Linked DNA regions of Xenopus tropicalis. The protein of the gene in region 2 purifies or fractionates together with the protein of the main gene of each other region. This does not show direct contact. Links are inferred from orthologs where the notes say so. Each region holds a gene or a part of one and is shown on either strand. Other genes may lie near its edges.

Evidence for each region.
Region 1: the proteins of amhr2 (region 2) and cdc37 purify together in Homo sapiens (co-immunoprecipitation; 3 studies listed by BioGRID and IntAct, with this or other methods). This does not show direct contact. The link is inferred for Xenopus tropicalis from reciprocal best matches to the Homo sapiens genes AMHR2 and CDC37.

The regions. Positions count from the first base shown.
Region 1 is NC_030679.2:137,659,902-137,663,473, reverse strand, and holds the end of cdc37 (hsp90 co-chaperone Cdc37), read left to right. Parts: intron 1-684; coding exon 685-756; intron 757-2,685; coding exon 2,686-2,823; 3' UTR 2,824-3,527; downstream 3,528-3,572. UniProt on the Homo sapiens protein: Co-chaperone that binds to numerous kinases and promotes their interaction with the Hsp90 complex, resulting in stabilization and promotion of their activity. Inhibits HSP90AA1 ATPase activity.
Region 2 is NC_030678.2:146,938,562-146,942,133, reverse strand, and holds part of amhr2 (anti-Muellerian hormone type-2 receptor), read left to right. Parts: intron 1-79; coding exon 80-310; intron 311-1,141; coding exon 1,142-1,256; intron 1,257-3,402; coding exon 3,403-3,560; intron 3,561-3,572. UniProt on the Homo sapiens protein: On ligand binding, forms a receptor complex consisting of two type II and two type I transmembrane serine/threonine kinases.

The DNA of each region.
Region 1 (3,572 bases), on a different chromosome or scaffold from region 2:
AAGGTATTTATTTGCCTTCTGTACACTGCCACATAACCATTTATCAGTCCCAGTCCCACAAAACCACCTATCACATCCCTATGGTCTCACATAACCACCTATCCCATCCTCAGGGTGAACACACATGGAGCTACTAGTAGCAGCTACTTGTTGTAGCTACTAAAAAAAGACAGTGCTGATCATTTACTGATAACTATCTCTACGTCTGTTTGAGCAGAGGCAATTCTCAGTATTGTCTGTGGCAGAATTAGGGAATCTACATACATTTTAATGCAGTGAGAAGGAATGATTTCTGCCACCTCATGCCCTCTTACCCTGAAGACAGGAGAAGATTTCAGTGTTGTATAGAACAAAACAAATTCAGAAATTTTCCATTGCTAAACATGCCCTCTAGTGGTAGACCTAAGAATAGCACCCAAGCAGGAAAAATGATAGAAAGTCCCAATGTAGCTAGGGCAAGAAAGCAGTTCTAATGTGTAGCGCTGGCTCCTTCTGAAAGCTCAGACTCAGGCACAATGCACTGAGATGGCGCCTACACACCAATGTTACAACTAAACATATACATTATTTGCTACGTAAACAATGTCATTTAGTAATAAAAACTACACCTTAAAATCACAATAGAATCCCTTTAAGTTTTTTTAGCCAACGCAAACCAGTCATTTTATTCTGTTTCTTTTACAGGAGCTTCAGAAATGTTTTGATTCTAAAGATATTCAGATGTTACAGGACACCATCAGCAAAATGGACCCAACTGTAAGTTAATTGGGACACAATTGCAGGACCACAGCTTTTCATTTCAGTCAGATTTCCCATTGAGCTCCCCACCGGTGATGCAATGAGCAGAGATTCACTGTAAGTTCTAAGGTGGCCACATAGAGGATGATTTTTCAGGTTATCCTGCTGATCAGTCTATGGGCCCCACAGCTACATACGGTATGAGGCCAAATGTGGACACCTACCTGTCCAACATTTCATTTTAAGAGCAAAGACATTAAAGGAAAACTATACCCTAAATATATTACATAAATAAGCTCATATGTAAAACCCTGTGTTATCTAAATAAACCATTTTCATACAAATATACTATTTTAGTAATATGTGCCATTGGGTAATCCTAAATAGTAAATTTACATTTTAAGAATTAAGGGCCGCCCCCTGGAATCATAGGATTCACAGTACACACAAACAAGCCAAGGCACACATACATGCTAGGCCCCATCAGCCAATGAATGGGCAGAGTTCTGCCTTTTGCTCCCACACTACTTCCTGTTACAGTTAGAGCTGCATTACTTCCTGTCAGGTGATCTCTGAGGGAGCAAACAGCCCTTCACAAAATGGTGGATCAAGGTAAAGGATGTAAAAGGCCAATATTATATTATTGCCAGTTTGGGGAGATTCTTTAATAGGTCACTTAACATAATATAAACTGTCTGTTGGTTAAGCATTCATTATGTGGGTGTAGTTTCCCTTTAATATGAAGTTGGTCCTCATTTTGCCCATAAAAGAGCCTGTAACTTGCACTCTTTTGGGAATGCATTTTGGTGGGATTTGTTCACATTCATACGGAAGAAGGTAAGCACTGATGGGGCTCAGGCCTAGATGTGGCGTTTCAGTGCCTCCCATAGGTGTTCAGTTAGGTCAAGGTCATGGCAAACCATCTCTGTATGTATATGGGGTTATTATCTTGCAGTTGGGGGAGGTGCCATATTGATTACCTTGGCTGTGTATAAAAAAAATTCTTAGCATGCTATGCTGTACTATAGTAATAATGGTGTTAGCAAATAGATATTACTGTTGCATCTTTTACATAAACAGAGACACAGTGCTTGACTGACATGTGAACTCTGAGAATCACTCATGTATTATAAGGGATAATGTACCCCCTACTGTAAATGATAAGGATATTAGCAGTCACTGAGGGGTTCTGTGCCCATATAAAGGCACAAGGCTGCAGGCTGAGTTATACAGGGAACTCTGAGTATCACTCATGTATTATAAGGGATAATGTACCCCCTACTGTAAATGATAAGGATATTAGCAGTCACTGAGGGGTTCTGTGCCCATATAAAGGCACAAGGCTGCAGGCTGAGTTATACAGGGAACTCTGGGTATCACTCATGTATTATAAGGGATAATGTACCCCCTTCTGTAAATTATAAGGATATTGGAAGTCACTGAGCTGTTCCATAAACAAACCAAAAGACTATAGTCTTATGGAAGTCTTATGTTTTATCTTTTACATAAGTTCTAGTGAGTCATCTGACACATGTCACTAAGCACCCATACACGGGCCGATTCTAGCTGCCAACATCTGTCCCTTAGACTGTTTCGGCAGCTTATCGGCCTGTGTATGGGCACTAACGACGCACCTGCCTGACAGACATCTGGCCTGACATTGGGTTAGTTGATGCGGTCCCCAAACCAACGGGCGCCCATACCTGCTGTTCTAATCCGATCGTTTGGCTCCAGGGCCAAACGACTGAATAAGCCCAATATCTTCCACCCATAGGTGGGGCTGTCGGGAGAAGATCCGCTCGCTTGGGGACCTCGCCAGGCAAGCAGATCTTAGCGTGTATAGCCATCTTAACTGATGACATCACTTGTCTACTTTACAGTTATCATAGTTATTCATAGTATTTTATTTTTGTTTTTAATCAACATATTTATTCACTTGCATTGCAGGAAGCAAGATTTTTTATGAAGCAGTGCATTGACTCAGGACTTTGGGTTCCGAATGCAAAGGGAGGAGATGGTACGGAGCCTGAGGCTCCTGACTCAGAACCTGTATATGAAGAGGCCAAGAGTGAAGCTGCTGACTAGATGGAGACTTCATGAGAGACCAGAAGTGGCCAATGGCATTATCAGAAGAGCTCCAGATAGAAATAGGTGGAATTAGCTGGATCCCCAACAGAGCTACTGGCCCATAAGAGGTCCTGCTAATACTATTTATCTTTTTTTTTTCTTTTTATGTGAACATCATAAGGATTATATACATAGAAGCAGCCCCCGTGAATTGTGCATGAATAGATCATTCCAGGGATGGCTGATTCAGGAAAGAACACAACTTCTATTCAATAACACATTGTGGCTTGTTAAATGTCAGTGGGATTGGGGCATAATATTGCCTTTTACTGAAGCATTATGATTGGCTTACCACAAGCTGTTAATTGTCTGTTACTCTGTGTTCTTTTACCATACAAAGGGAAACTAGTACTACCTTGAAATTATGGGTTGCTAATTGTAAACCTTCCTCAAAACAATGGCTTTTTATATTTTCTCCCTTTCTTTTCATCATGTTAATTCAAATTTGTAACACAATTTCAGTTTTCCACTGATTCCTGCTGCTATGAACTTACTGAGAAACCTCCAGATCAGCCAAACGGTGAGAGAGCGTATTCACCTTTGCTGGAAACTGCAGTGATCTATTCAATATCTGTTTCTATTTAGTCCCTTTAGTCTGTTCTGCTTCTGCACTGGGGTTAAGATGTGATAGCACTGAAATAAATATACATTGACTTTTCCACATTGGCTTGTATGCTGCCGTACCTCTTTTTTTATTTCATGAACCT
Region 2 (3,572 bases):
TAACATAACAAGGTAGTTCATTGTACATTTTAGTTGTTCTGTTACTGAGCAGAGTCCCTTGTGTTGTCCATCTCTTTAGGCGCTCAAAGAGGATAGTTTGTCAGTACAATTAAGTCTTGGAAATTTTCATGGGAGAAACGTGGTCATAAAGTGCTTCCCGCCAGCCCTACGAGAGCAGTACAAACAAGAATACAGGATCCTCAGTCTCTTGACTTCTCTTCATCACAAGAACATAGTATGTCTCATTAAGGCAGGTTCTTCTAGCTTCCTAAAAGAACATTATCTTCTGGTACTGCAGCATTATCCTAGAGTAAGTATCAAATTTGTGGCCTAAAAAAGTTGACCTTTTATGACTAATGAACTCGAAGGCAGTGGTTTCCCAAATGTAACCTTGTCATAAACTAAGGGGGGACCACGGCCAAATATTTGACCAAAAAGAAGTCCTTAACTCCAAAAATGAACCATGCTGTCTGTCTTCTTTACAAATATAGCATGTTGAGGACCAAAGATAGGGGTGGTAGTTGTAAGGTGTCATATCAAACCTGAAAGGCAGGGTACAAAGTCCAAAAATCAGGGCAAATGGCAGACCGCCATTTTGTTTCCAATTTGCACCCTGTCTTTCAAGCTAAATGAATTAATGTAGGTCTCTGTGCTCATTCAGGCATGCAAGATAGCAGGGCTGGAATTAGTAGTAAACAGAAGAGCGAAGTGGCATAGAGGTGGCAGGGTGTTAGACACATACTTCTTCTTTCTGCCTACCCCTATTTCAGGGTCCTGGAGGATCACCAGATGTCTGCATTTTTACAGTTCTCATCACTCAAATCCACCCCACCCACCATCACTTGTCATATATATATATATCATATAAAAAAGACCAGCAACACTGAGATTTCTGTGCAAATCAAAAGAGTGTATTTAAATGTAATATGCAGCCATATATACATATATACTGGAACAAGGACAGCACTCTTGTTCCAATGCATTTTTTTGTACTAGCATCCAGGTTTTGTTGCTGCAAATGGTGTGCACCCTATGGACTAGTTTATATATATATATATATATATATATATATATATATATATATATATATATATATATATATATATATATATATATATATATATATATTTCTTTTTTGCAGGGCTCTCTCAGGAGTTACTTGATACATTGTACCACTAACTGGACCACAGCATGCCAAATGGCAACATCCCTTGCCAAAGGACTGGCATTCCTACATGCAGACATATGGAAAGAAGGTTTGGATAATTCATAAAATCTTTTCTCTTTGTGATTTAATTTTGATTTCATCTCATTTTTTAATAAAATCAAATAACCTTAAAACAGGCTCCATAATGCAGAGCACACATGCTGCTGTTATTATCAGCAAGTTTGACATTTTTTTTGCCATACAGGTAAAACATTCAATTTGACGCGACCGTGCCTATTTTGACACAATACTATTTGATAATACTGTGGCATTGCCTTTACATGTCACTGCTGGTTTGTTTTGCATTGGGGCATATGCAGATACCAGCTGAGCATACTGTGTAGCTGAATAATTTATAGTTGCTGTGGCACTGTTTTCAGAGATAATTGCTAAATTCACACACAAACACACATACAGACCCTTGCTTGAACACAATATGACCTATATACTGTATCAGACACATTTATAATGTATGAGTCCTGTTTACCAAGCAGTGATAATTTTAGATATTCTTAAGCACAGATAGTACTCATTCTAGACATTCTGTACACAGTTAGCATTAGTGACACTGCTCTTTTGGTTTAAATCTTCTCTTTCTGCCCGGTCCCTTAAAGGAACAGTAACACCAAAAAATCAAAATGTTTTTAAGTAATCATAATACAATGCACTGTTGCCCTGCACTGGTAAAATTTGCACATTTGCTTTAGAAACACTTCTATAGTTTATATAAAAAGGTGCTGTGTAGCCATGGGGGCAGCCATTCAAGCTGGAAAAAGGAGAAAAGGCACAGGCACATAGGAGATAACAGATAAAAAAAACCATTGTATTGTACAGAACTTATCTGTTATCTGTTATGTAACCTGTGCCTTTTCTATTTTAAATGGCTGCCCCCATGGCTACACAGCAGCTTCATTTACTAAACTATAGTAATGTTTCTAAAGCAAATACACCAGTTGCACCAGTGCAGGGCAACAATACATTATACTGTAGTTCCTTTTATACACTTTGATTTTTTGGTGTTACTGTTCCTTTAAAGTTGCATTCTCTAACTCTCCTCCACCTCATTCCCTCTCTCTGTTGGAGTTCCCCAAGGCATCTTCTCTAGGGAAACTTATTCAGCCATTTGGACTTCAGTACCACCCTTATGCAGATGACACCCAGCTCTACAGTCTACTTTTGACCTCTCTCTTTCTGTCCTTTTCAAGTTCTCATCCTCCTTGATGTGACAGCACCATTTGAAACTGAATCTTTTGAAAACATATTTCCTCCAATATCTTCCCCTGTCCCTCAGGTATCACTCACAGTCAATAACATCACCTTTCAATTAACCACACAGGCACGCTGCCTAGGAATTAAGGTGGCTATGCACAGGCTGATTTCAGCTGCCGATTTGGGTTCCTTAAAAACTTTCAAACGCTCCCTAAGGGCTCAGGCACACGGGGAGATTAGTCGCCCGTGACAAATCTCCCCGTTCGCGGGCAACTAATCTCCCCGAAATGCCATCCCACCGGCGAAAATGTAAATCGGCGGTGGGATGGCATACGCGGCGCCGCGATTTCCCTGAAATCGCGGAAGTTGCCTTGAGAGGAAACCAGAGCCCTAAGACCCATCTGTTTAGGGAAGGTTTCAATGTATCTAGATTGATCAGACATTTATGTATTATAAATCATCAGTTTCCTTTTGTTGCAAATGTACTCTTAATCCCTTTTGTAAATTTATGCAAGTAGGTCCTCTATTGTTAATCTGTAAACCCTTTGTTTGTTAAATTATTTCAAGATACCTGTTTCTTAGAATTTAATGTAAAGTGCTGCATCATTTTCTGGCACTATATAAAGAAATGATGATAGAATCACAACTAGTGATGAGAGACATTTTTCACCAGCCATGGATTTGTTGTGACTGTATGTGTTTCGCCACTGGTGGGTTTTTCCATGAAACGGAAAATTTGCCTCGCAACAAAAAAAGTTGCTTGCGTAGATAAAAATTACATGCATCAAAAAAATAGTCCCGATGCATGCAACAATTTTTTTTGAAGCATGTGCATGTGCGTCATTTTTCACATTTCACAAATTATTCACCAGTCCACAAATTTTCCAGTGAAATGAAACTGGACAGATTTACTCATCACTAATAACAACTATATCAATTAAATTGTTTGAGCATGAAATCTAGTTTCTAAAATTTCACTTATACAGATGTGTACAAACCACCAATTGCCCATCGAGATCTCAGCAGTGAAAACATCCTGGTAACTGCTGATTCCTTGTGTGTAATCTCAGACTTTGGTCTTTCGGTTGTATTGGAGGGACAAAAGATAATGAAAAGAAACACTGAGGACCCAGCTATAAGTATGGTAAGAATATAA